Cricetulus griseus: one gene and its partner. The protein of the gene in region 2 interacts with the protein of the main gene of each other region in a biochemical or structural test. Links are inferred from orthologs where the notes say so. Each region holds a gene or a part of one and is shown on either strand. Other genes may lie near its edges.

Region 1 (3,500 bases), on a different chromosome or scaffold from region 2:
CTAAGAACTATGTCTTGCAAGATTATCATTATTTGACTGAGTGATTTCTAAACAGTGGATTAGTAAATTGCTTCTGAAAAGTCATCTCATTACCTTGTGCAAAATTCCTAGCTCCTTGGACAGACACCCACCTGGAATTCCATTATGCCAAAAGAGGAAGTGGGCTCACTGTACATAACGTGCTGAGGACAGACAGACTCACAGCAGGCTGAGGACAGACACAACCGCAGTGCTCTAGGCTCCTGAGGCAGACAGCCCAGGGGCACTTCCAGGTTCAAACACATATGATCTATACTTGATGCTTATCAAAGAAGGGGAAATATTAGTGTTTTGGGGCAGCAATTTGAACACTGTTTCTGAGAGCTAGGACTATGAAGTTAAAAAATAAAAGTGAGGGAAAAAGAAGGGAAAGAACCAGGCTTTTCAGACAAGGACAAAGAGATACGGCGGCCACTCCCCAGGATCAGAGACTTCCCCTTTGCCCAGGGTGGGCAGGTGGCCCCGTGGCACTCACGATGGATACTTCTGGTGAAGGGGTGTCTTATCCCTGTGCAAGGGTGTGGTGACCACCACCTTCTGGCTGCACACTGGAGTGGACGTCAGCGAGGGGCTCTCCAGCTCCAGGGTATCCTGTTTGTTCCAGAAGTTCAGAAACTGCCAGGGAAGAGATAGAACATGTGACAAGATGAGGCCTTTGAGGGACAGACGAATAGATCCTTAGACACCCCTCCCTGTGCCTGTTCTATAAGGTTGAGGTCTTGTCCTGACCTGTAGGACACCAGCAAAAACTTCTTTCAACAAGTATGACTCAGTCCTTCTGTCTTTTCTCTATCATCCAACAAGGCCCTGCAGCTTTCTCAATGGAAGAAATCCTTCCACCTTTGAAACACCAACTTGATGGTGTTTACAATCACCATGGGAACAAACCTCTGGGCTTGTCTGAAAGGGACTTTTCTAGATTAGGTTAAATGAGATAGGGATGACCCACCCTACTGTAGGCAGTGTCAGTCACTGCCTGGACTCTTTGAATGACAAGGAAAAGGGGAGCCTAACAGGACATCATTCCATCTCCTGATTGGCTGCAGTGTAACCAGCTACTTTCAGCTCCTTGTCATAGGGTATAACCAAAATAAAGCTGTCCTTTCTTCAATTACTTTCACATCAAGTATTTTGATGAAAAAAAAAAAAAAAAAAAACAGGACAAGTGACTAAAGTCTTTGCCTCTTCTTCATTTTATCACTTATCTGGATCTTTTACCACCCAGAGTGTAAGCTTCATTAGGGCAGGGCCAGGTCTGGTTTTCTCAACTAGCACTGGGCCCCCAGCACTGAGCACAGGGAGATACTCAGCAAATACTGATTATCTAGTGTGTACCTGTGCCAGACCTCACTGGGCACTAAGTGTTTATATGTGGGAGCCAAGGCAGCCAGAAGGGCCCACACACCTGGGAAGGAGAGAAGGGCAGGGTTTTGACAGGTGTGCTCTTCGGGGTGAGACTGTTACAGGAATCCAGGAAGGACAGGCTGGCACTGTTTTCTGTGACAGGCGACAGGGCCACACGCCGTTTCTTCTGCCGTTTGAGCACTGAGGGTGGTGTGCCAATGCCTGAGCCCCCAACCTCAGTGCTGGGGGAAATGGGGATAAGCTCCCCCCGGCTGCTCCGGCTCAGGTCTGAAATAGTGTGGCCATCAAGCCGATACTCAGTCATGCTGGGACCTGGTGTGGCGCTCTGGTGGGATGACTGTGCCTGTTGCTGCTGCTGTGATGTCTGGGGCTGCACTGGGCTGCTGTTGACACTGCCCTCAGCAGATGGCTCTTCAGGAAGATCAAATTTACTCAGGTCACACCAAGCATCAGGGTCCTGCCAGAAAGGGAGGTTAGAAGGTCCTAATACAGTAGGACTTCATTCATTACGAGAAAATACACCAGTGTCATATTCAGTCCCTTATCCCTGGGATCAGTCATTACCACTTACATTCATTTCCTCAACATTCTATGTATATGTATATGTATTATGCTGAAGCTTGAATGGGATTCTTGCCCATCAACAGCTTCACAATCCCCATAGCAACCTGCTAGGAAGCACGACTTTTGCCTTTTTTTTTTTATTAATTCATTGCATTTATTTATACGTGAATGTCAAGGACAACTTGAAGGAGTTAGTCCTCTCCTACTGCCACGTGGGTCCTGTGGATTAAACTCAGCTTGGTGGGCTTGGTGGCAAGTGCCTCTATCTGCTGAGCCATCTCACTGGCTCCCTTTCCTACTTTGATATCAAGGAACCCACACTAAGCTCCGAAGATCATGAGATCACCACAGTCCTTTGCCTTTACCCAAAGGCTTCTGGAAACAGAAGGTTCCACTATGGTCCTTGAGGTGTGGCCCTGTGTAGATCCAGAGCCCACTCACAAGCTGTGGTTCTTGGGATTTGCTGGAGCCAGTGACAGTTCATTCCTGAGAGTAGAAACTAGCTTGCAGCTAGGCTGACCTCAGCCCTATACCCGATCTCAAAGATCAGAGGTCCAGGAAACTGATGACATCTTGGAGCTAGAAAGCGTATGCTGCAGGAATGCCTGGGAGGATGCTGGAGAGGATGGAGAGCAGCTTTTGTAGAGCCTTTCCCTAATCTTCAGCCCTCCCAGAAGGAAACTGTAAAAGAGTCTGAGGTCTGAGTCAGTCAGGACTTAACTCCTAGATGATACAGCCTAAAGCTCGATAGCAAATCAGAGGGGTGGCCCCGCCCACAGGCTCTCAGGCAAAGTCATTGTTTATTTTCTCAGAAATGACACATTCCCTCCTAGAGGAAAGTTACAAGAGCCAGAAGGCCCCTCCCTGAGGTTATAAAGCTGTAAGTAACTGCTGGTGAAGAAGAGACTCCTCCCTGAGGATTGCATGCAAGCTGGGCTGGGAGCTCCAGGGATGCAGCTTGAGTCTATGGTCATGCTGGGTCAGCTTTCTGGTGACGAAGCCGTCTTATGGGACTGCAGGATGCCCACAATCCTCTATGTGTCTCCAAGAACTCATTAGCTCACCATGCTAGAGCTGTGTGGAATTGTTCAATCTGTCCTTAGTACTGTATCTGAGTAAACAGATACTTGTTTGTCTCCTCAGGAAAAGCCACATAAGGAACACAACCTAGGACAGTAAGCATAGCATGGCCTTGGCCTGAGAAGCCAAACCCATTTGCTGCTCCAGAGGTTGCAACCATAACCCCTGGCACTTCCAGGGCCCTTTCCAGTGAGATATAACTATATGATGCCAATTCAGTGCCCTCTCTGAGAATCCTTTTCACCCCATTCCACACTGTAGGGCAAGGATTGCAGCGACCTCACTGGTGTCCCCAGTCTGGTCGGAGCTATGCAACTTCCATCAGTCAATATATGCTAGGAGGATGACGGAAAAAGGCAAATTCAAAAGAGAAGTGCTGGGACCAACATACCGACTCAATCAAGTCCAGGGCTTCAGAGAGGCTGGACCCCACAGCAGGTATCAGGAGGTTT
Region 2 (4,288 bases):
ATTCAGGAAAACATCATGACCTTGGAGCCCTGTGCTACAAAACATTCTAAAATGGTATGAAAATATTTTTGTATATCATCATTACTCTTGGGGAATTTTCTCAAATCATTTCTTTTCTTTATTCTTACAGAGAGAACAACAGAAACAACAGTGGCCCTGTCATAGTGAACACTGGCAACCAGTGGTCTAAGGAGAGTTATGTGTGGCAGCCAGAGCAGGCCTAGGAGTTAGACTTTGATATGCCAGTACCATCAACTGTGAACATTTTGCTTATACTTAATCTTGGTAGTTATTATTGGATACCACTTCCCAATTCATATGTCACTTCATGAATTTACTTTTCATCAAGGAAGTTAAACTTATGTTTAATAAGAAAAACAATTTGTAATAAAATGTTAGAGGAAAAAATTCCATGAGGCAAGTTACAACTAGCCATGACTCATGTTACTGCTGGGTTTGAGTTCTGCTCTACGTGTGTGTGTGTGTGTGTGTGTGTGTGTGTGTGTGTGTGTGTGTATCTGTGTGTGTGTGTGTATGTGTGTATCTGTGTGTGTGTTGTGTGTGTGTGTGTGTGTGTGTGTGTGTGTGTAAGAGACAGAGGAGAGGCAATGTGTTGCATAACACATCAAGAAAGAGTACTTTTTACTAAACTGAGCAAGAATAAATGGTTTCAAAGAAGGAAGAATGGCCACTTATGTGAAAGGTGTCAATATATCAAGGAAGACAAAACTGAGTGAGAGAAGACTCAGAAACAGAAAGTGCCAAGCCAACAAACACACCAAGCTTGTCTAGCCAGGCCCATCACTCTTCTGGACAGTAGGAATACCACAGAAAAGTGTCATCCCCACATTGTCACCCTGGTGGAATGCCCATACCATTAAGATAGACAGTTTCTAATAAATCTTGCTGTAACTGGGACAGTAGCTGCACAGAGATAGCTGTGTGGCTGGACAAGTTTGAAGATGGGAAGCTATTTCCATATATCCATGCATGTATGGATTTGCTTCAGAGAGATAAGAAATTGGAGAAAGAGAAGAATTGTTAGAGAGGTACCTTGAAATCCAAGAGGTCATGGGTTCCAGTCACAGAGCAGGAAGGGAATAACACAGGGGAGCAGTAAAGATTCTAGCTGCTGGCCCAAAGTGAACAAACATGTAATTGTAGCACTAGAATGGATGAGGTAGGAGGGTCCTGAATTTGAGGCCATTTAGAGCTATGTACCACATCAAAGCCAGCTTGGCCTAGACTCTCCCTACTCCCTGGAGTTGGGAGGAAGAGTGAAGTTCTGGCTGAAGCATTCTTTTGGGAAAGCAGGATACAGTCATCTTATTCTTTATTCTGAAGGAGCAGGGCTGTGAACAATTAAGGGTTGAGGCAACAAGACGGTTCAGAGGGTAAAGACTCTTGTTATCAAGCCCAGTGACCTGAGTTCAAACCTCAGAAGGAGCTTCCAATCTTGTCATCAACCTCTACATGAATGCTGTGGCATGCATGCTCACAAACACACATCATATATGCACACATGTACATACATAGTAATGAAGGAATTAAATTATTTTAAAACCAAATAGAAACCAAAGAACAAATAATAGGGAATCAGGCTTGAGGTGGGTTTCTATGGAAGGTGTAGGGGAATGGAGTGTCGAGGAGACACCAAGCAGTAACTCCGGTAGCACAAGAGCTGAGTGTGAATTTCAAACAAGGACATTCAATGTAAACACCACTTTTAATTCATAAATTCAGGTCTCAGATGGCAAGTTTAAAGAAGTGAAACATTGCTAAGCCATTTTTGTTAAAACTATTTTCACTTGGCTTGACTCAGAGCATTAAAGGGATCATCTGGGGGATCACTGCCACCAATGGATACAGTCAGACCCAAGAGCAGAGGACTTGAAGAGGCAGTAGATGAAGGGTCTCTGAATGAGCCTCTACTGTAACAGGTGGGAGGGATAAACCATCTCTAACCTGCCCTTAAAACCCACCCACCTGCTGGACTGGACTCTTGTAACCATTGGGTTCCACAGACTTGTAATACAGAATTGAGGCCTCGTTACAAGGGTTTATCTAATAACAGGCTTAGAGGACACTTTATTTTCTATCTCAAAAAGTCACTGCTGCAGATTCAAATCTCTCCTCTACATTTAAACGTCTGAATTTGATGCTGTCTTCGGTGCCAGTTATACAGTCAGTTAAGAGCAGACTGGTAGCATCTCAGTGCCATTGTCTGTAGTGGTAGATATGTTTGCTCTGGATGCCACCTTTCTCTTAAAAGATAAACTAGTGTATCCTGGTACACACGCTGTCTCCATTGATTGATTTCTGGTGGCCTGGCTCATCCATACAACTTTCTGGCCCAGAGGTTCCTCCCAACCCCACCCCCACCCCTGCACTACAGATCAAAGTAATCGCATCTCCCTTCTGACTAACTCTTAAGTCACTTAACACATTCCTAACCCAAACAGTCTCTAAGATTTACTTCTTTGATATAGGGGGAAACACACACACACACACACACACACACACACACACACACACACACACACACACACACACACACACACACTCAGACATGCACATTGCCGCAGGCAGGCAGGCCTTCTCCACAGCATCTTCCCTGATGCTCCTGGGTCATTACCTGGCCACAGGTCCTCCTGTACTGCTCATTTTCAGTCAACACCCCTAGCACGGTTCTCTGTGGGGGATCCTGGCCGAGCTGAGCTCTAGTGAGCATTTGACAAGCCTCGGGACCTTGGCCCACTGGAGGGAGAGCGACTCCACTCTTGGAGCTGTGGCGACGCATTGCCTAGCAAGCCACAACCTGCTGCTATCCAGGGAAAGAGAAGGAGACAGTTAGTCAACCCTCTCAACCTGGGGACCCAGGAATGCAGAGAATGCCAAGCCCCGGCGGAGTTACCACCCATTTCTCAACTTCTCAACAAACATTAAGGTCAGCGTTTCCGAAGCGAGCCACAGCAGCAGGCATCAGAGCAACTCACAACCAAACACTGGTTGAATAGGCTTTAATCTGACCCCAGGCTGAAGGTTGCAATGAGAGAGAGAGTGGGAGGGAGGGAAGGGAGGGAGGGAGGGGGGGCTGTCTGTCCAAACTCCACATCGGGATTCTCAGCCCACACTGATTTGTGTTGTTTGGGCGGGGGGGGGGGGGATAGAGAGGTGTTGCCTAGGATCCCTGATTTTCCTCCCCACCTTCCCTCATCTCAGACTAAACCCTGAAACTCGAACTGTGGACAAATGATTCCCCTTCCCAAGTGACAAGCAAGTGCTTCTCACCAGAGGAAGGCCCCCAAACCTGCTTGGGAACCCCAGGCGGCCCTGATTCTCAGGTTCTTCTCCTTCTGAGGCGATTAGCCAGCGCACCCAGGCCGGGGCCGGGCGGGCGGGGCCTGGCGTGAAGGGAGGGGACCCGGAGTGGAGAGATTCCAGGGGCGCCGGCTCCAGCGGCTAGGGCTGCTGCGCTCGCCACTGAGCACTTTCGACCCAGCCGCGTCTGTTGAACCAGCCAATCAGCGACCAGTCCGGGCCCCTCCGAGCCGCTTCCATGCCAACCGCGGCGGGCGTGCGCCCGGGTCCTCATCGCCCTGGCGACCGCTCACCTGCAGCGCCGCCGGCTGATGCTTGGCCCCGGAGCGCTACCGGGCGCGGCTAACCGCGCAACCCGGGGCTCCTGAGCCGCAAAGCTGGGCGTACTGGGCGCACCGCACTGCACGTCGCCACTCGCGCCCGTCTGGCCGGCGTCCCCTGCGAGGGCGGACGACGGCCTGCCCACAGTACCCACCCTGGAAGGGACTGTTCCCCAGGAGCCGGTTCCCCCAACAGCCACGAACCCCTCCCTCCAACGTCTCCTGCGCGGCCTGCTCCCGAGAACCCTGGCTCGGGAGAGCGACGCGGGGCCCTCGGGCTGCGGCCGCGGAGCCCTCCAAGTCGGCCCGAGGGCGCGGCTCGCTCCCCTTCCTCACCTCCTTCTCCAGGGCGCCTGCCTTGAGGGCTCCCGACCGTGGGCGGCGGCGGACTGAACCTCATCTCTACCCACCAGGATGGCCAGGTGCCTCGAGTGTGGCAAGGAGAGCTGGGAGAGATTGGGGGCTCTAGGGTAACTCGCGGTGCCGCAGGTACCCGGGAGAGATCTTCCCCATGGGCACCCGGTGGCACCGGGAAGAGGAAGGAACGCGGAGAGGTGCTGGGCCTTGGGTGTTGAAGGGGCACAAGGACAGATTCCGAGCTGGGGTCATTGGGCCGGTGACCTGGCCACGTGTGAAGGGAAAGTCCC

What was found. The genes of interacting proteins can lie anywhere in the genome.
Region 1: the proteins of Ccna1 (region 2) and Mybl2 form a complex in vitro, tested with the Homo sapiens proteins (2 studies listed by BioGRID, with this or other methods). The link is inferred for Cricetulus griseus from reciprocal best matches to the Homo sapiens genes CCNA1 and MYBL2.

The regions. Positions count from the first base shown.
Region 1 is NC_048599.1:16,446,242-16,449,741, forward strand, and holds part of Mybl2 (myb-related protein B), read right to left. Parts: coding exon 3,440-3,500; intron 1,862-3,439; coding exon 1,445-1,861; intron 655-1,444; coding exon 515-654; intron 1-514. UniProt on the Homo sapiens protein: Transcription factor involved in the regulation of cell survival, proliferation, and differentiation. Transactivates the expression of the CLU gene.
Region 2 is NW_023276806.1:96,102,541-96,106,828, reverse strand, and holds the start of Ccna1 (cyclin-A1), read right to left. Parts: upstream 2,801-4,288; coding exon 2,636-2,800; intron 1-2,635. UniProt on the Homo sapiens protein: May be involved in the control of the cell cycle at the G1/S (start) and G2/M (mitosis) transitions. May primarily function in the control of the germline meiotic cell cycle and additionally in the control of mitotic cell cycle in some somatic cells.